Drosophila melanogaster: one gene and its partners. The protein of the gene in region 1 binds, or shares a complex with, the protein of each later gene. Each region holds a gene or a part of one and is shown on either strand. Other genes may lie near its edges.

What was found. Proteins that work in one complex are often made in the same cells at the same time.
Region 2: Nup93-1 (region 1) and Nup205 share a complex: the UniProt entries of both Drosophila melanogaster proteins name them as parts of the nuclear pore complex.
Region 3: Nup93-1 (region 1) and Nup214 share a complex: the UniProt entries of both Drosophila melanogaster proteins name them as parts of the nuclear pore complex.

The regions. Positions count from the first base shown.
Region 1 is NC_004354.4:13,821,106-13,826,419, reverse strand, and holds Nup93-1 (nucleoporin 93kD-1), read right to left. Parts: upstream 3,595-5,314; 5' UTR 3,494-3,594; coding exon 3,333-3,493; intron 3,270-3,332; coding exon 3,089-3,269; intron 3,010-3,088; coding exon 2,206-3,009; intron 2,133-2,205; coding exon 1,504-2,132; intron 1,420-1,503; coding exon 723-1,419; 3' UTR 510-722; downstream 1-509. Other genes in the region: Clic (chloride intracellular channel), read left to right, coding at 4,412-4,495. UniProt on the Drosophila melanogaster protein: Required for nuclear pore complex assembly, maintenance and function. Required for nuclear import of phosphorylated Mad via importin msk. Has no role in classical nuclear localization signal (cNLS)-dependent nuclear import via importin-beta.
Region 2 is NC_004354.4:19,850,242-19,858,251, reverse strand, and holds the start of Nup205 (nucleoporin 205kD), read right to left. Parts: upstream 6,039-8,010; 5' UTR 5,905-6,038; coding exon 5,683-5,904; intron 5,604-5,682; coding exon 5,280-5,603; intron 5,193-5,279; coding exon 5,091-5,192; intron 5,001-5,090; coding exon 4,438-5,000; intron 4,374-4,437; coding exon 3,873-4,373; intron 3,817-3,872; coding exon 2,265-3,816; intron 2,165-2,264; coding exon 780-2,164; intron 717-779; coding exon 1-716. Other genes in the region: pico, read left to right, coding at 7,240-7,389. UniProt on the Drosophila melanogaster protein: Plays a role in the nuclear pore complex (NPC) assembly and maintenance, but with limited role in NPC permeability. Required for specific nuclear import pathways such as Mad import.
Region 3 is NT_033778.4:22,918,705-22,926,277, forward strand, and holds Nup214 (nucleoporin 214kD), read right to left. Parts: upstream 6,039-7,573; 5' UTR 5,951-6,038; coding exon 5,915-5,950; intron 5,859-5,914; coding exon 5,720-5,858; intron 5,661-5,719; coding exon 3,928-5,660; intron 3,875-3,927; coding exon 3,693-3,874; intron 3,636-3,692; coding exon 3,294-3,635; intron 3,238-3,293; coding exon 2,042-3,237; intron 1,944-2,041; coding exon 461-1,943; intron 368-460; coding exon 343-367; 3' UTR 233-342; downstream 1-232. Other genes in the region: CG30187 (uncharacterized protein), read right to left, coding at 1-68. UniProt on the Drosophila melanogaster protein: Part of the nuclear pore complex. Serves as a docking site in the receptor-mediated import of substrates across the nuclear pore complex including emb, RanGAP and phosphorylated Mad. Protects mbo/Nup88 from proteasomal degradation at the nuclear pore.

The sequences.
Region 1 (5,314 bases):
GACCTTCGACTGAGTGGCGCACAAAACCAGAACAAACTATCGCAATCAACTTATTCCAATTAACAATATTATCTTAAATAGACAGAAGTGAAAACAAATGCATTTATACGAAACGAGGGCCAAGCTAATGGCTTTTTTTTTTCTTCATTTTTATGGCAGTGTACTAGGATCTCGAAACGGATCTGTTAGAAACTATGTAATGGATTCCTAAAATCTCCGACAGTTGGCAGCCATTGTTGGCAATACTATTTTGATACAAGTATATTGATGTGTTCTTCATATGTATGTCCTGGGGTGTTCCTGAGACCTCTTGAGGTTTCAATGCAATAGCAAACGGTGTCTCAAATTATGCAATAAAATACTTAATACTTCTTATCTGAAAGTCTTTTGTGGATATTCCAGTGGGTTAGTGGCTTGTTGTGATACATACCATACATTCGGTTATTAAGTAGCGAAAATGCAAAATTTTAATTGTTTGCCTAAACCGTGAGTAATTAACATATACGTGTGACATTTTGAATTTTGTTTAGTTTTCTTATAACACATACATACAAAATATTTTCTTTTAAATTTTTCGAATGCTTAATGCTTTAAATGCGTTGCGCTTAACAGAAAAATTCCAATAAAATTATTGGAAAGAAAAAAATATAATCATCAATAAAATTTTAAACGAACTGAATGAAATGCATATAAACGATAACTAGGTATTAATCTGGCTAATGTTAGTGCATAAGGATCTCCAGCTGGACGAGCCGCTGGTTGGTGGTCGATGGCATTCGGTATGGAACGCTGGCAGCCATGTTGGTGAATGCCTTGGCCCTGTCTCGCAAATGTTTCACGGCGGGCTCCTTATTGACGCACTTGCTTTCATCAAAGAAACCGGAAGCTGTTTCATTCGAGTCCATTAGCTTCACATACTCCTGGTATACAATGTCCATGGACGCCAGCAGGATATCGGGCAGCACTTTAATGACCTCGGGACCCATCCGCTTTATGTTCGTCACACACTCGTCCACTTCCAATGAGCTGGCGGGTATCAGATGATTGTTGGTCAGGATTTCTAATGCCGAACGCAATGCGCCTTCGTGATAGTGGTCAAAGAACTTCATGACCTTTGTCAGCACCGTATATGTGACAACAACTTGAACCTCTACGTCCGATTTACGCACGACCAGCGCCGCATCTAGTCGATTGATAATATCGCCCAGCCGGTTACGCACGCTTCCATTCTGCGTTGGTTGGTGGACCACCTGTGCCAGTAGCGAGTTCACCAAACGCAGTGCCTTGTCCAGCTGGCCACCAATAAAGTAGAGCTCGATGGCCAATTCGTAGTCGCCGCGTTTCGACAACTCATCGCCCACCATTTCGGCCAGAGAGTACTTATCGCATTCATGAATTTGAAATTCCGCATATATGCCGCTAAATAAAGGGGAATGAATAAACCATTAGCTATTTGCCAAAAGGATTTTGAAATCTTTTAAGAGTACCAAAAACGTAACATACCCATAGCGCAAGCCGTTTTTCTTATCCTCCGTCCCGAAAATCAGCTCTAGCATTTCGTCGTCGCATTTCTCAACTAGCAGATCGCAGACGCAGGTGAGCATCACGTTGCCGCGTCCGTTCTCGGATTTAAAGTTGCGCAACAGGTAATAGTAATGCAGCGCCTGCGTGGTGTCCGTTCTCTCAAAGCACTTGGTGTACATGACGATCAGACGCACAAGATTGAGTCGTTTCATTGGTTTTGGGTCGTCAGGGTCGGAGCTCAGAAGGGATTGTTCCACGGAACGTGGTGTTCCCAGCATGGATATCTCGTTTAGGGCAATGGCCATGTGGATAGCGTGCGTTCGATTTTTCTCGGTGCGGGCGAGGAATTCAATGGCGGCCTCAAATTGGCCGGTAAGCGTCAGCACCTGGAAGTATAGCGCCGCCTTCTCGCGCGCATTGAAGTAGTTCTCGCCGTACTTTTCTAAAATGAGCGATTGCAGGCCGCTGAACGTTAGCTGCTCCGTGTTGCTGTCGCTTTGGTCCGACCTGCGCAGAATGGACAGTTGCATCCACAGGAAGTCGTCGATGCTGCGCATTAGTTCTACGTGAGTGAAGTGCGGATCACACGCCAACAATACGACGTATACCTAATGGAAAAGAGAAAAACATATGATTAGCACGAATATACGCAACAAGTTGTAGCAAAAGATGAGCACTCACCGCCTTTTTGTAGGGATCCGTACAGGCGCGCAGTCTACTGTTGTACTCCAACTTTAGCTGACCCTCAAGCTTTACCATCAAGTTGTCCCTATCGCCGTTCTTTCGCAACGTCAATAGCGTAAGCAGGTCGGGGCAGGTTCCCGATTCCTTGAGATACAACGCAGCCGCGTCCATATCGCCACTCCGCAAGCTATAGTAAACATGTGGCCACAATGGCTGGCCATTGTTCACGTCATGCAGCCCGTAGAGGGCTCGCTGCCCCTGGAGAGTAACGCCCACATAGGAGCGGACCATATGGTACACGCTGGGGATTCCTCCCCGCCGCGCTTTGGCCAAATTCGCGACGATAAACTTTCTCATATACGTCCTATATCTGCGCTCCAAGTACGTGCGGGCCTGCTCAACGAATTGCGGTGATGTCTGACGATTCTTGATTGGATCGATGGTGCTCGAGACTGGCGGCAACGCGGTCATAAACTGCAATACATTCCACATCTCGGCTACGGACTCATCGTTGAAGGAGTCTTGGACCACGTGGGCAAGGGTCGACAGCAAGTTAGGGCGTCTGCCCAGGATGATCGACTGGTTGTGGATGGCGATCTGTTCAGCGTACATCTGCTCATGGCCATTCAGTTGGGAGTACGGAGTGGGCTCATCAGCCATGGCCGTGGGCACTATCTGAAACTGGACGTCGGGGAAGTCCTGTTGGTTTGGTCCGACCAGAGCGTTTAGCAGCGCTTCCTTCTCCTCGCCCCACTCCGAGTAGATGCAACGCCACTTCTGTCGCTCCACAGATTTAAATATCTGCAATGGATTGGTTAATGGAGATAGAAAGTTCAGAATTTTGGGTGTCTGCCTGAAGCATGTCATTTGGCGCACTCACACTGCGATTCGTCTCATCGATAACTGAGAGTATGGCGTTCTCCCGCTCGTTCTTCAGATAGGCCTGCACATTGGTCTCCGTCACCGGATCAATCGGCTCGAAGGTTTGGCGGGCGCTGAGCGACTCCAGCTTCTGTGTAAGCTTGGGCAGGTCCACGCCCTTAGAGCCGAGCAGTATGTGGCTGCATTTGAATGACCGGTTAATATGACAATTTTTGGCGCCTGGCCTATAGCGAACTACTCACGCCTGCAGATCATTGGTGCCCATTTGGGTGACACGCGAGTGAAACTCCTTGGTTGCCTGCAGAACCTGGGACATGGTCCGTTCCACGCCCGGCACCTCCGTGTCCGTATTGGTCTCGTTCGTCAGGCGCTGGGCCTGCTTCAGCAGTTCCATCAGATCCATGTCGTGATATTGGGATGGAAAAGCCGGTGCCAATAAAATGATATTTCCAACGAAGCGCACACCAAGCTGCTAGTGCTGCCACCTGGTCGCAGTCCGGATTATTTCGGCGCCATAAAATGTTTGCAATCGGTGGTATTCTTTTTGGTATATTTAATAGTACAACTGTTATATGTTAGAATAACTATAATAATGTCTACAGATGGTATATAATTTAAAAGGAATATTTGATAATTAAAATCATTAAATTGAAAAATTTATATAGATAGCAGACTAAGAAATTATTTCTCAATACCTAAAAGTTGTTATAAAAACAAAGAAAATAGTCGATTTCCCCGAACGCGAAATTTCAAAATTTTTATGGAATATCGATATATTGGGGAATAAATTGAGAACAAATGGGAGTTTTGTAGGTATAAGGTATTTTTGGTATTACGCAATCTGTTATTGAAATGTCCCAATAACAACTGTTATTGAGAGGGAGTTGTAAGTACAACTTTAAAAACATTTGGTATTAGCTTGGTATTTATAGGCCGGCCGAAAGGCAGGACCGTCTGGTAACACTGAACAGCAGGCGTTAGTGTATTTCGCGCAGTGCAGATTGGTTTATTCAGCGGCTAACCAATTCAATCGTGAATAGACTTTAGCAGCGCGCAAATCGTAGAACAGAACGGCATATTTTTTTTAAACACTGCGAGGCGAGCTTCTTCTTCCCTCCGTCTCTCTGTGTGTGTGTGAGTGTGCTGCCTGTGTGTGTTACAGCTTGTGTACGTGAGTGTGTGTATTGGCAAAGGAAATTAGCACAACAAAAGCGAAAAGGAAACGAACACGCACGCACCTCGTCACGCGGATAAAGAAAAAAACTCTTCGATCTGATCAGAGATATCGAGAATAAACGATAAAAATAATAACAATATCGCAATGTCGGAAGTTGAATCGCAGCAGAGCCAGGAGACGAACGGCAGCAGTAAATTCGATGTGCCCGAGATAGAATTGATCATAAAGGTGAGCGAACAGCGACATTTGCATACCCCTGCAGTTTTCCATTTCGCTCTGCGCAAATTTCCGTGCAGAGTGAAAATGCAGCCGGGGCAAAAGCAGAAGCAAATGCAAACAAAGGCAAAAACAAGAAGCGACTGGGAAAACGCGAACTGCCGTTTGTTTCTCCTCCTCCTCCCTCTTTTCGGCTTCTTACCCCTGTTCGTTCTTCGTTGTCTTCTTCTTCTTCTTCTCACTGTGGCACTTTGCAGTGTGTCACATTTGGTTAAAACGAACAGAATACGTTTAGCACACACCGCCCCCTCCCCTCTCGCCGACGTTCCCCTTTCGCCTTGCGGTTCCTAAGCATCGCCAAAACCGGTTTTCTCCTTTTCTCCCTATCGCACATTCACACACACATACACACACACATACACACACACGCACGCACACTATCGCATACACATGCATTCGGGCACATCTGCACAGAACGAAATTGTTGATTGAGTTATGATTTTCAGAACTCCATGATTACCATTATAAAGCATCCAAATTAAATATTACAGCATACCTTTTTGGTGCAATACTCTAAAGCCGCCCTTTTTCCAAATTATCCGAGCATACCAAGCTGTTCATATGAAATATCTTTTTAATATTTTATAATTAACAATTAATCATGATATTGCTGTGTGCGCACAGTCTGAAATTTGTGGAACGTAACATATTACTTCGGTTCTTATCTGCTAAAAAATTTAATCACATTTCATTGCGCCAATTGCTCAACAAATGCTCCTTCATCATAGTTCTCCTAAGCCCCCCGCATCGCCCCCCTTCGCAACCATCAGC
Region 2 (8,010 bases), 6.0 Mb from region 1:
TAATGACCGCCACCTGCTGCAGGTGGCCGAGGTCCATATACGGCGTGGCCGAGCGCAACATGGCCTCGACCATGTCGATGTGGGCGAACAGAAAGTTAAGCACCTGCACGGCGGCGGAGTTGTTGCGCGGACCCAGCGAGTTGACAATGGCATCGCAGAGGCTCAGCGCCGGCAGGAGGATCGACCGGAAGCGGTCATCGATGGACGGGAGGAAGGTCTGCGGCTCGTTACGATTCAGTTCGCTGGACTTCAGGTCGGGCTGCTGGTCATAGACCTTCATATTCGAAAGCACGCCCAGCGCCTGCTCGGTGAGGAGGAGCCGGGCTCCCACATTGCTGTTCGCCATGCGCGTGAGGAAGGCCATGCGCGACTCGTAGACGTAGAGCGGCCTCAGGTGATCCGGCACGGGCTGCAGAATCCCGCAAAGCGCCGTACTGGACTGATCAAGGCTTTCCAGTATGTGCTTGAGGTAGCCACGCGATGCCACAAAGTCGCATAGCGTGCTCACCGCCTGCAGCTCGGAGATCATGTCCAGGCAGGCCAGCGCCAGCATGCGGCACACATCGTGGCCGGTCACCGCATCGTGGCAGATGGTGTCGATCAGCTTCTCGCCGAACGTGCCAATCACTTCCGCCGCCATGGCCTTCAGCCGCAGGCGATCGTCGCGCCGCTGCTCCTTGTTGTACGTGCGTGCACTCTCCTGGCGCGAAATCAATCTGCAATGAAATAGAATGAAAGCTACAACTGCCTGCTACTGCTGTTGAGAAGGATACACTTACGTCTCCTGGTACTCCAGATGCTCGTCGGTGCGCAGTCGCTTCGCGATCCGCAGGCAATTCAGCAGCGAACTGTACAGATTGATGCGCAGCTTCTGCGACTTCACCTCACTGATCATGATCCACTGGACGAGGTTCTTGAGAATGAATCGCAGATTGCTGCTGTTGCCACCGGAACCGATATCCCGTCCACCTCCACTGCCGCCATCCGAACCAGTTCCGATTGCCCTCTGGCCCAGACACAATGCGTTCACCTGCGAATCGTTGCCGATGGCGTTGCCATTGCCATTGCTGAGCGAATCCTCGGCGGCCAGATCCTCGGGGCTCTGGTCCTCGGCCTGGTAGCAGCAGTAGCGCAAATTGGCAAGCAGCAGCAGCACCGTCTCGCTCACCTGTACGGATATCTCGATGATGGGCTGTATGGGCTGCACCTTGATGAGTACCTTCTCGACGATATCGATGATGTGCTGGCGACGCTGCGTCGCCGGAAGCACGGCATCGGGCATGTTGCTAAAGAGCACCTGCACCAGTTGACCCCATGCTGCCATGAAGGCCAGCGTGGCGCAGCGCTGTGTCCGCACGCGATTTATGTTGACGGCGTGATTGAGCAGCAGCATGATTTCCGTGGAAATGGCCTTCCGCTGGCCGCTGGCAATGATGCTCTGCACCATGTACAGCTCGTCGGTGAGAATGTAGTACAGTTTGCGCACGTTGATCAAGTTGGCCCTGGAATTGGCGCCAGCTTCGGCGGATGCCTCGCAGTCGCGCAGCAGTTGAGTGATCAGATGCCCGTCGAAGAACTCCAGCTGCGGCTGGCTCAACGTGCCCGCCTCCAGGACGAGAATATCTAGCAGTCGGGTGACATGCAGTCCCTGCGATGTCTCCTGCAGCAGCGATGGCTTAAGTGATTTGACCCCAGTGTTTGGAGCTCCGAGAGACGCCGAACCAGCCCCATGTGCCACGGCACTTATCGATCCACCGGCCGGTAGCACATCCATGGCGAGGAAAGACGACGACGGCTGTGAAATCAGGCTGTGGCCCAATTCCATCGACAGGCCATGGGATGAACGCTCCATTCCGTTTCCAATTAGCAAAATGTCGCACATCTGGTTGAAGCGCGTCATCTGGCCATGTTTGGCCGCCAGTTTGACATCGATAGAGACGCAGTTGAGCAGGTGGCCCATGGCGTGCAGCACATGATCCTCGCGATGCTGCCGGAAGGGCAGCGAGCGTAGGTGACGCAGCAGGAAGTCGCTGCACGTTAGCCGGAAGTAGCGCAGTATCGTCTCCGCGGTGCGGCGATTGGCGCAGAGTCCATGGAACAGATGGTAAATGCGCTCCACGATTCTCGCCGTGTGCTCGCAGTACTTATCGCTGTGACGCTGTTTCTGCAATATCAGAGATTGATTTGATTGTTAAAAGTTGGTAAGTTAGTTAGTTAGTTAGTTAGTTAGAATAGATAGTAATGGCCAATGGCTTTCAACTCACATCCATGTACTTTTCCAGCAACAGCACTACGGAGTTCACGCACGAGCTTTGCATCTCGATGGCCAGGTGCTGCCGTCCGTTGGCCATAAATTCGCGCAGCACATCCACGCCGAGCAGGAAGTACACAAAGTTGGGCAACTGCTGGCTAAGATTCATCTCGAACAGCTTGATAATGGCCTCTTTCAGTTGCAGCTCAATGCTAGCCGGTTTGCTCTCCAGCGCGCCATCCCCCGCCTGCAGCTCCAGTTGCGATTCAATAGTTGAATATTCGCGTTCCCCGCTCATCTCTCGCTCATTGTCCAGATCATCGCCGAATCCCAGATACGGAACGTGATTGTTGAGGGCCAGTTGGTCCAACAAATCGTCGTCGTGCTTGCCCACGCACACCTCCATTTCCAGGCACTCGACGAAACCCTGACGAATCTCGAGCTTCTCATTGCTGCCCTGACCGTACATGCTGAGAATCTGGGTGGAGACATTCGGCAGCTGGGTGACCGAAGCCAGAATCTTAATGGCGGCCAGGGCGTGCCGCGGCAGCCAGCTATTATAGGTTACATACTTAATGATATTCAGCACGTGATCGGGCTTGCGACTGCGTGGATTCAGATCCAGGAGCATGCGATTCAGGCCCGACAGCAAAATGGGGCAATTGGCCGCCGAGTGGGCCTCAAAGAAGGCGTTCTGTTTCGCCAATGCGGCTTCCAGGATCAGCAGTGCGTACAATGAGCACTCCTCGAGTAGCTTCTTGCCCTGAAAGCGATTGTAGTTGTCCAGCCGCTCACGCACCTCCTCCACAATGCACAGCAGCAGCTGCAACATTTCGGACTTCAGCTGCAGCTGCATCATAACGTGAAAGCCCGGATAGGGAGGTTCATCGACTGTCTCCAGAAAATCCATTGCGGACGGCCGATAGGTGGCCAGTAGGTAGTAGAGCAGTTTCAGGCACTGGGCGCCAACTTGCCACTTCTCGGAGGGAACCTTGTACGCGCGATTGTAAAACTTGAGCAACACCGAATTTATCATGGACTTTAGATAGCCTTCGTAGGCCGGTGTCCGTTGCCCGGCGCCCAAACTCTTCGGCAGATTGGTGGTCATCAGTGTGTAGAGCAATTGGAGGATGCCGCGCGTCAGGTTATACTGCTCCGAACGGCTCTCGATTTGTTCCATCTCCTCCAACAAACTGCACTGGGCATAGCTTCTAGACACGGGCACAGTGGGTATAATCTGCGAGGCCTCCAGGTGGAACCAGATGACGCGCGCCGTCTCCTTCGATTTGGCCAGGGCAGCCAGCGTGTGCAGAATCTCCGCCTTCAAAAAAAGCGGCGTGGCGCACGCAACCAGGCCCAGGAGCACCTGCGGCGTCTGCCAATTGGGATGGTCACAGATCATGATGCGCGAGACCTCGTCGTGTTCCGCCACCGCCTGTATGATGCCCATTACGGCCACCAGATGCTCCGCCTCTCGCTGCGTAATGGCCTTTGGTGTCGATCGGGTGCGGTAAATGGTCTCGCCGCTCATGCCGATGTTGGTGTTAAAGTCGTTGCGCATCGAACTAGAAGATAGTGATCTTCAGAGAGATCTTCAATACCAGATTTGAGTCACACTTACGTATAGTAGTTGCCCAGGGTGGTGAAGAAGTGATCCCAGCTAACCGCATACTTGCCGCCGGTGGCCATCTGGGGCACCCTAAGCATGTTGAAGGCGCATCGAGCCGAGAAATCGGTCCGTGTAAGTCCGGATATCATCTTGAGGTAGGCCTTGAACAGCGTCTGTGGCAGCAGGTCGCTGGCCAAGCTAATGAACTTGAACAGCGACACCGAGCGCGAGGTGTTCTTGAATGCCGTAGAGCCGTTGGGATCGCCGGGGCCCCAGTACTCGTTGCACAGCCTGATGGTGACGCGCGGATCGCCGTGCATCTTGGCCACGCACAGCATGAGCAGCTCAAAGTTGGAGTCCAAGTTGGGCGGCGGTTCCAGACCCTCGTTTAGGAAGCTGATGATCGTGTGTGACGACTCGTCTGCTCGGCCGCGCAGCTCCGACACCTTGGAGTTCATGAAGTCGATGAAGTCCGTGATGAGCAGATGGACGCGGCGGTAGAAGAACTGCGTGCTGTCAGCACAAATGATGATTAGCTTGCGAATCGGCAATTGACACTTCAGTTGTCAGTACTCACCTATAGACCAGATCCTTCTCGAGCAGCAAGCTGTGGAAGAAGACGAATACCTGCGCTCCCAGTGCCTCGTCGATGAGCATCTCATCGCGATTGATGATCGAGATGGCGGTGGCCTGAAGCTGCAAAGGTGCATGCCGCAGGCTGGCCAGCGTTAGTCCGAAGCTGTAGGCAATGATGGCATTCAGGCGCGGTGCTTGCCAGCTGCTCTGCGCGTACAGCTCCTCCAGGAAGCACTCGGCGAACTCGCGATCGCTGAAGATCGGAAGTCGGGTTGTGTGCTCATTGGGTTCCTCGGTGACCAGCAGCATGGAGGTATCGTACGCATACAGCAGAGCCATCAGCATGATCAGGGTCACGTCGTCCATGTTGCCGCCCGCGTCGTGGTTCTTTCGGTTGGCCAATTGGTGCATCAGCCGAATGGCAATGTGTCGCGGCAGGCCGCGTTGTGCCGACCAATTGAACAGGGCCATTGCCAATGCCTGTTGAATGTCCTCGTATAGGCCGAGCACCTGGTTCTGATGCTTCTTGGAGCCAAACGCGCGGTTTGTGGTCAGCATAGCGCACTGCGAACGTTGGACAACAAATGAATAACAATTTGCGAAGGAAGATATGCAATTTCAGAGAATTTCAGAAACAGGCGCATACAAACCCACCTCCTTGTCGACATCCATCTCCTCGAGCAGCTGCAGCAGGCGTCCCAGTATCCCAGAGCCGTCGACAAGGCTCTCGGCATAGTTAGTGACCAGACCGGTGATCTGCGTGCGTAGAACGATAATCAGGGTCAGTGAATCTCTCTTTCAGCGGCACTGCGATGCCTGCGATGTCGAAATCTCGAAACTTACCTCCTTGGGCAGTTCGGTGTTCCACGAGACGCCGCTAACCACCTGGAACATGTCGCGAAGCGTGCAGCTGATGGCCTTTCGTCCATCGTAGTAGAGCAGCACCGCGACAAGGCCTCTGGACAGGCCGGGATGATGCTTCTGCTGGCGCTGTGCGGTGCACAGCAGCTCCACGGCGAAACCCTCGTCCAGATCGAACATGTCGGACAGAATGACCGCCTCGTCGGCCAGGTCCTGTGACATCTTTGTCTTTCGCGAATGCCCCTGCATCGGGACGCCTTCGTTGAGGGCATTTCGTAGGAGATTGCGGCTCTTCTCGCTTCTCGGCTGCCGACATTTTCAATAATGGATTATCAATAATTAGTTAAATCTACGGATCTGCAAGCGCTTGTTTTGCTATACCCACCGGATTGCGCAGCAAGTTGCTGAAGTTGTGCTTGTACTTCTTGAGGCACTGCTCCAGATCCGAGGTGAAGCCACTGCGATTGGACACCGCGGTCTGAAAAGTGTTGTACAAATGCTTGTACGGCGTCCACATGTCCTCGATTACAGCTGTGGACGCATGGGTGGCATTAGTGATTTGGCGACCCACGCACATCTGCTCGTTGGCCAGGCACTCACCATCCATTTCACTTGGTTTTGCGGTTCGCTCAGTTCACGCAGTTCTTGCTGATTCGCAGTTATTGACTATAAAACGCGGCAAGATTGCTTCGCTTTGCGACAAGGCGCCGGTTACCAGGGCTGGGTGCTGCAAATACTGGAAAACACAGATGTTCACCACCGTACGAACTCACCACGCTCGTACGCGCTTCGGTGCTTGTGCCCGCTAACTGCGGTTGCTGCGCTGGCTAAACGGTTGATTCGAACCAAGTCAATCGGAAAATCGATGCTTATCGAACGATAATCGAGGCGCTGCATCGGTGCGTTGTCGCACCACTAACTAACACAACTTCAGTGCGGCGCGGGCGGGGCGTTTTCGTGAAAATCTACGCACGGACTTTTCGTAGTTACCCGATAGTAGCATCCATTTGTTTTGTTCCGATTCGCGTTTTTTTTTTTTTCTGTTCTCCGCCACTTGATTTGGCCAGCGAACGCACTGCCCAAGTGGTGTCCTGTTCGCATTGTGAGTGAATCACCGATGGCCGCGGGCAGGCTGAACTGCACCATAGTGGGATGCTGGTTCTGGCTGTCGATGCAAGTGGATGTGGAAGTGGATGTAGAAGTGTAAATGCAAATGCAATCGGCGCAGTTCGGCTGCAATAAATGCCAAAAGGGATACTAACTGCCAAAGCCAGTGCAATTGGAAGGAAAATTCAAATTTCATTGGGAATTATTCGAATTGGAATTGAATTTGTAACTGGAGTTGGAGTTCAGAGTACTTGGTACTGGGTGTGCGAGAGCGACAGAGAGGAAGAGAGGCAGTGCAAGTGTGTGGGGGTAGCAGTCACACAGGCACACACGAACATACTCACAACTCCAGTGCATAAAACTCCAAACTGCGTTCGCCTCTCTCTTTTCGTTTCGCTTGCTCTCTCCCCTACGTTCGCCCACGCAACGCCTGGCGAGCGAGAGAGAGAGCGGTATAGAAGAGCAAGGGAGCCAGAGCGAGAGAGCAAGGAAGTGGTTTTTCCACCGAAAATATGGACAAAGGCAAACTGCAGAGTTAGCTGAAAATAAAAAAAAATAAAAAAAAGGAACAAGACACAAACAGTGACTGAAATAGCGGTTAACAGCGCTCCCTTACGGCGAATCGTTGAAATTCAAGACGGAGAGCTATCGCATTTCTTCAATTATGTCTGTTTCGCTTTTCATTCCGCTGCAGTAAGCGATCGCGCGAAGGAGCAGCAATACAGAGAGCGAGATTTGGAGAGAGAGAGAGAGAGATAGAGAGTGCGCTCCCAATTGACGACTCCACTCCACTCCCACACACACTTAACCCCGCCCCCTCGCACCCGTAATTACTATGGATTGTGGTGGTATTGCGGCACATCAGCAACAACAACTACAACAGCAACAACTGCACTTACTCCAGCAACAGCTACAACAACAACACCACCAGCAGCAGCGGCAACAACAACAGCACAGCCTCGAGGAAGCAGCAACAATAACAAATGTAAGTATCTCCCAAGTTTCTCCAAATGTGTGTGTGCGTTTGTGTTGCTCGACCATTTCCTCTGTACTTCATAATTCGCTCCCACACACAAAAAAAAAAGAAGTCATAGGACAGAGTACACAGGAAGAAACTGAACTATACCTTTAAAGTACAGCTTCTTCAAATTATAGTAAGAACGGTGCAAATGGTAGACTCACATATGGTTGGTAATTGTATTAACTATAATTCTCTATTAGTGTTTTTTTTTTCGAGTGTATTCAGTATACTTTACTCCTTGGCTATGAAAATAACCTAGTTATGCAGTGCTAGGTGATCAAAAGACTTCAAATTCGGTACTCCAAAGTTGAGACTGCCCAACTAGTATCATGGATATAGTTTCCTATAGTTTGATAATATAGAAACTTAAAACTTTACCACTCCCCCCATTCGATGGGTCAAAGGAGAATTAATAAAAGCAAACGCAGAGAGCGGAATGATTAATCTTTGGACCAGCTGCTGGGGCAAAAACGACCACAAAAAGTGCTCAATGCTTTCAAGTCCAACAGAATGCCGACCCATTAATTGGTGTACTAACTTTTTCGCTCTCTCTTGCGCCTCTTTCTCCGTTCTTGCCCCATTACT
Region 3 (7,573 bases), on another chromosome or scaffold:
AAGATTGAAGCACCCACATCTTTGAGGAACCAAAAAATGACGGGAATCCAAGCCAGACGTGTCTGCATCTCATGAGATGTTCGAATGAAATAGGTGATAACCTTAGCATGAGCATAATACCATAGCAAGTATTTCATAAAAAAAGAAACCCTTATCATACTAGACTATAAATACTAAATAAAGTTCAGTACACACATTTCGCGTGAAGTAAAAACACAGTTTTTTTTTTTTTAATTTTAATAAAGATTTAAGATTTAAGATTTTTAATTTTAACTGGTATTCTTATTTCATGAAAACTGAACAAGCAAAACTATTGAGTTATGCAACACATTTATTATGAACTCAACGATAATTCATAAAGCTCGATCTGAAATAGTAAAATTTAATATTTCGTTAGTCGTATGCATTCTTGGAAATACTTATATAAGTATGCATATGTATGTATGTCGGTCGAACTTACCCGCCAAACGCTGGTTTCTGTGCATTTGAGTTTCCAGTCTGTGCTAGATTTCCGAAAGAGAGTCCCGATTCCTGTCCCCCCAACGTTTCAAAAATGTTTCCCTGTGCCGGCTTTGCAGCAGCACCAAAGGGTGGAGGGGAGGCTACTGGGCTGGCACCGCCAAATCCACCGAAACCCTTCGGACTGCCAAAGGTGGCACCTCCCCCAAAAGTGGGGCTAGCTCCAAAGGCCGGGGATCCACCGAAAACGGGCTTGGCTCCAAACCCACCTGGTGTCGTAGTTTGCTGCTGCGGGGCTTGTGGTGAGCCAAAACCTGTCTGGGCCACAGATCCACCCCCGCCCTGGCCAAATCCACCACCGAAGCCCCCCTGAGCTGGTGTCGTCTGCGTGAAGGAGCCAAATCCACCAGAGCTGCTGCCACCCCCAAAGATCGATCCGCCAGATGCGGGCGGAGCTGTTGCTGGTGATCCGAAAATAGAGTTTCCTCCGCCACCAAAAGGAGAAGCTTGCGGACTGCCGACGGGATTGGAGAATATATTCCCACCTGCTGCCGGTGCAGCCGCTGATGATTGACCAAACACTTTTTGGCCAAAAATTGAAGTACTTCCTGCAGCCGGAGCGCCGACTGCGCCCTGCGTATTACCTCCTCCAAAAATTGAGCTGGATCCAAAAGGTGTACTGGCGGATCCGCCACCAAAAATAGATCCTCCGCTATCGCCTGCTTGTGCTGGTTGTCCAAAGACACTTGGCTTAACAGCCTGACCAAAAATGTTACCGCCAGAGGCTGGTGCTCTAGTCGTGGGACTACCAAACGGCGAAGGGTTACTAATCGCGGCCGATGCAAAGAGACCCGCTGGTGGTGCATCTGGTGTTGCCGCAGCCGTGGTGTTTGAAGGAGCAGTTGTAGCTCCTCCGAAAACGCTGGTCTCCGCCTTAGGTATACTGCCAAAAATGTTTGCACTCGAAACTGGACTTTTTGCAGCTGACTGAAAGGGACTAGCCACTGGAGCCGCTGTTGATGTTGCTACTGCGAAGCCACCACCAAACACTGAATTCGACGAGTTATTGCCTGTAGATGTAGCGGTTGGGCTTTTGGCAGCTAAGGGAGCTGAAGCGCTGGTAGTTGGAGCTGCAGCACCTCCCGCACTTAGGGTGCTAAATGCGTTTGAGAAGGAGAACGCACTGCCGGGAACAGCAGTGCTAGATGTTACCGTTGTGCTCGATGTTGCCGGAACTGCTGCGGTAACTGCCGCAGGAACTACTGCTGGACTAGACACAGTCGTCGTAGCAGTAGTAGTCGAAATGGCTGATGGGGTGGTTGAAATAGGATCAGTTTTGTTGTTCGCCTCCGTCACACTTGTGGGAGCTGTTGCCACTGGTTTGGTACTGCCGAATAATCCCTTTGAGGCATCAATCGTTCCGCCAAATGAAAAGCTACCAGCGGATAAACCTCCTCCAAAAATGTTGGCTGGTTTGGTGGTATCTGCAAAGTAAAAGACATATATAGCCGTTTAGAGTTTATGCCAAATAAGCGTATACATTTATGCGTAAGGTATATTGATAAAGGAAACTATAGCTTACCTGCAGGAGTGTTGGGCTTGCAGATAGTCACAGAGCTAAAGAGGCCTCCAATAGGATCCGTGCTGCTGGTCACTGCATTTGTTGTGGTGACGGAAGGAGCATCAGTTACGCTGCTCGAAGCAATTACATTCGTAGGCTTGCTGGTGATGGTGGTTGTGTTGCTAGTGACCGTGGTGATCGGTTCAGAGTTGGATGGTTTCGCCAAAGCTGCTGAGAAGATGCCAAATGGTGCAGTTGAAGCTGATGTGGCTACACTAGTGGTTGCTGTGCTGGAAGGTTCAGATTTTGGCACAGCAGCGGCTGTTCCTCCGAAGCCTAGAGATGAACCCAGTCCGCCAAAGCTGAACGGGGAGCTGGAAGTATTTCCGACAGTACCTCCAGTTCCTGTAAATCCTCCAAATCCAAAGGATTTGTTTTCCGTCTCTGCCTTTGGTTTTTGGGGTACTTTTGACTCTTCTGTTTCGGGTTGTACCGCCTTGAATTCTTTGCTTTCTGCTGCTTTCTGCTCTTTGGGCTTAGTCGGCTCGGGTGTTGGTTTTTCGACCGCTGACAACGGGTTTGGTTTTGGTGTAGGAGCTGCCACGGCTGGCGATCCTGTTCCGAATGAGAGTGCCGACTTGGCAGCACCACCACCAAAACTAAAGCTGGAAATAGTACTGCCGCCGAAAATGGATAAACCCGGCTTGGCTGCTTCGCCAGGAGTCACAGTATTTGTCGTTGGCGTCACAGTAGATGTCTTCACAAATGGGATGCTTTGGCTGAAGGAAAATGGCGTAGCCACTGGAGTTGTCGGATGTGTGGGCACTCCAGGCTTTTCCACAACGGACGGTATAGATGGCATTGGTTTAGGCAGCGGAGGAGCCACTGTAACAGTTGCTTGTGGCATGGGTGCAACAGCTGGCGTGGGTGCAACATCTGGTGGTGAAGGCGGAGCGACTGCTGCTTGGGTGTATTTGTTGGCTGTTGCAGGCTTGGCTGCTGCCCTTTTAATTTGCTCCGCCCTACGTTTCGTTTCCAAAATAACCTCCGACTTGAGCCCCACTCGATCTGGTCGCTGGGGACAAATAACATTGATCTTCTGCAGCTGAACAATATTACGGATTTTTTGTAGTCTTTCTCGAGTGAGCTTGGCTGCATTAGAGTCCACTACCTGGCTAAGACTCATCGTGAGAATGGAGTCGGTCAATGTATCCACTCTAAATAAAAAAGTTATAGTCGCATAAAGAGAGAGGTCACAATAACTTCTACTAACGCTTCGTTGGTGCGGGTGCGACTTTTCTCCTGGTCGAGCAGTGCGGCCTGAAGCAATCCGCGCTCCTTCAGTTTGGACTTGATGTTGTTCTGTACAATTCGCTGGTTAGAAGTTAGATTTTGTAGTCTTGTCAGTCGTTGATAGATTCCCTCTAGGCAAGGCATGTGCATGCGAGACTTCGAATTGCGCCGCACAACATCCTGAAACTGTTCCCACTGCAAATCGACATGCTGCTGGGCAAGACGCAGCTGGGCCTCATTGGCAGCCACGTAGCTCTGAAGACGAGCTAGCATGCGACGGCCAGAGGGATCACAGGAGCTTGAGTTCATTAAACGCGTAATCCTAAACGAAAATTACGGGTTTTAAATAGCTTATATATTCAAAGAGTCCTTTACCCACTCTGGTTTTCTATAAATCTCCAGTTTCCCGCGGCACTCTGCTACGATGGCATAGGCCTCATTAAGACCCTGTCGCAATCCCTGTACATCTAACTCGAACTCCACATCCTTGGCTTGTTCATTGAGCTCTTGGAGGTCATCCAGTCTCTTTGCGTATGCCCTCAAAGCAGATGGTGCTGCAATCTGCGGAATAACAACTTTAATACATGAAGCAGTGTAATACCAACACTACTTACGCCTTTGAGGAGTTCCTTCGTCTGTTCCTTTTGCTTTTGGATATCCTTGCTAAAGGCTTCGATTTGTAGGGCAATCATGTCCTTGATAATAGGCTCAGTGTCATCAGGCTTAAGACTTTCATCTGCGATTTGTGGAGGAGCTGAAGTGGCTGGTTTTGTGTCCACTGGTGTGAATGTTAAAGGAACCGTGTACAGTGGTTTGTTTGCTGGAGCAGAAGCAGGAGTTGCGGGTACTGTTGACCCAGGTGCCGCTGTTCGGGGTGTCACACTGGCAATAGCCGGTTTATTCAATGCCATTCCCCCAAAGGCATTTGCTCCTGAAGCCGAAAACATGCTTCCCATGGCAGTAGTCGTTGCCTGCGTGCCAAACCCACCAAACGGTGTTGTTGGCTTGGCTGCATTGGTAGTTGGAGCACCAAACGAAACCGGACTAGAAGTCGGAGCAGTACCAAAAGATAGTTGCGGAGCAGGTGCCTTAGCTGCAGCTGCTCCAAAGCCAGAAAACAATGATGGTTGCTTATCCTTCGAGGGAGCTGGGGTTGAAGTAACGGTATTCGGTGTAAATGCAAAGGATATGTCCGAGGAAGCAGCAGGAGTTGCAGCTGGAGCCTTGGAGGGACTGGCTGCCCAAGCTGGCTGCTCTTCTTCCTCACTAGCAAGCAGCATATTCAACGGCTTGAACTGCCCAGAAGTATCGGCCACTGGAGGAGGTGGCGAACAAACAGACACCGCCGTCGGCAGCACATTAAGAAAGTTGAACGAGAGCAATTCTCCATCCGAACTCAAAACATGAACCATGGGCATAGTCTGCAGCTTCTTCTCATTTATCGTCAGCTGGTGCGTTGTAGAAGTGTCGAAGGCAAAGCCCAGCGGGAAGGTCTCATCCTTGTCCTCACTTAGGGGCATTTCAATGCGTGCCTCATCCAGCAATGTAAGCTGCTGCCAAGCGGGTGTATCGCCGGCCTCGGTTGACCGCATGATGCCCACCTCTACGCCATTGGCCGAGACTACGAGCAGCAGATTCCACTGGGGCACATGGCTAAATACGAACTGATGATTCCTCGGGCCGTTCATGCTATAGCAGATGTCATAGTAGTTTATGTAGCTGGGCGCACCAGCCTTGGGAGCATTTAGAATGTAAAGCGAGGGGCTACAGTCCTCGCCATGCTGGAGAAAGATCACTGCAAACTGGAAAGTCGACAGCCACTGTATAGCAATGGTGTCAAAGGGGGCATCATGTATATTCGGAGGACACAAAAGCGTCTTGGCCAGAGTCAGATCCGGCTTGAACTGCTTCACCGTGCCGCCGGGAAAACCAAGAACGATCTGTTTGCCCTTGGGCGACCAGCAGCCGCACTTAACTTGTTGATTTTTGTCCAGCGAGTGCATTTCAAAGTTTCCCCCCTCCTTCAGGGCATACATCGCGAGCGCTCCGTTGCTCAAAACAACGGCCAGGCTGTTGGGCAGCACGGGATTCCAGAGGAGCTGGACGCCGTGCACGTGATCCTCGGCGGCGAGGCGAATATTATAAACAGGACGTACATCAGGGGTCATGAACGATAGCACCGCATATATGCTGAGCAGGCTGGTGCCGTTCTGGGTGTGATTCACGGCCAGCAGGTTGCCATCGGAGCTGCAGGCAATGTAATTCGGAATACTGGGCAGTGGCACCAGACGCGCCTGCGGCTGTTGGGCTGTGCTCTTCGCATTGACCAAATCCTTTACAATAATCACTGCAAGGAGTGCCAGGATAAATTTATATATTTAGCCTAGCTAACTCAAGCTACATTACCTTTGAGTTCCGGCTGCGTTGGACTCCCGGCAAAGAGCAATCCCCGGCTACTGGAGACCGCCAGCAGGTTCACATTGCTGCGGGGCTCACCGCATTTTTTGAACGCAACAATCTTGTGGTGCAGTTTGAATTGAAAGTCCTGCGACCAAAACCAATGGAATGTTTGACATCTCAGTGCTATGCAATTGTGCTTACCTGCGTGTCCTCGCAGTCTGGTGCATTCTGCGCCATTTTTGTCTGTTTTCGCTCCTATTTCGCCAAATTTTTTGCGGCTTGTCGATTTCCCAATCGAGTCGATGGTGTGGCTGCAAGTTGAGATCGTTGGAAACGTTGGCAAGCAAAAAGCGCGCCACTTGCAGTACGGTCACTTTCAGGAAACTCACCACAAAAACTCACCACCAAAAAATCCAACAACATATACAATACAATCTGATTTAAATTTCATAGATGTTCCTTTAAAAAGAAAATGGGATAAAATCTTATATAAAAATAGTTTTCTCCTATAACTAACTGATGAACTTGTTAACTAAAAGAAACCAACTTAGCTTGAATTAAGTATTCACCAATCTTGTCTTAGCGGTTGACCATATGGCAATTGCACTTTGTTGGTATTTTTTCAGACGGTATTTTGTTTTGGACAGTATGTGCGAGAACGAAAATTTCAGCACATCGCTAGCGCAGCAGCCTTGTTGTTGTTCGTCTGTCTCTGTCCTACAAGCGTTTCTTTTTGTTTGCTGAGAATTAAACAAAAGCGATTTGTTCGCGGGCAATGCGAATGCATTTGCAAAGCAGGGCACAAAGCATCGGCTGTTTCGACTGTGATTGCACAAAGCCATGTAGTAGAGGTCGAGCTGGCGATTCGCAATTATCCACAGGCGACGCAACACGGTGCTAAAAATTGCGTAGCCAATTAATCTCGAAATCCTTCGAATTCAATCGCAGTTACCAAAAAGTAAATGAAATTTAAATCGACTTAAACAGAAATCTGTGGATTTTATTTCGATATTGCCCATAAAGTACCCCAAATCACATAATTTACGGAAAAGTCAAGGAAATTCCAGGTGAAAATTGGGGTTGGAAAGGAGGCCAGGATAACGGAGTGGACTCTAATTAAATACCCTACAGTTTTCCCCTAGAGCAGCCAGGCGACGCTCAAGATGATCAGCAGCCTGTTTTCGCGGCTTATAATGTGAGTAATAACCGATTACTACTATAGCAAATCCCGACTTCATAGCCACCGCAAGTGAGTGTGAGTGCGAGTGAGAGCGCTACAGCTGCTGACCCCCAAAAAAAAACAAAACTAACTTTTCAAGCTCGGCCTTCGAAAGCGAGAAAAGCACCTACGAAGCCCGTCGTCGTTTCCTAATTGTGTGGGCGTCACGCTTCTGATTTCTAAGTTTTATACATTTCCGTGGTTCCTCGATTCGCTGATTGCCGGATTGTTTGTTTATTAATCAGCTGTCGCAAAGTACCGTTCACTTGTGCGCGAGTGTGCGCGGCCTGTGTGTGTAACCCTCGATTGAACTCCTAATTTGGAGTTGCAACTTTCCAAGCTTCTGCGTCTCTGTGTTCCCGAGGCCGACGCACTCGCCTCGCCCGATTTGGGTGCAGAACATGTGGATATAGCCTGTCGGCGACCCGGCGACTCTCTGTGACTCCGCTATTGTTGTCAATATTTATAGATCGCAACTCGACGCTTGCCCATAGTGTGGCACAGTCGCGGCCAAGTAGCTAGCACCTCATTTGTTCAAGCACACAATACCTCCGTTAGCATTTTCCATTATGTCAATACATCTTAACTTCGAACTAGACTTTACTTTTGATAATGAAATTAGTAATCGGTTCAAATCAATA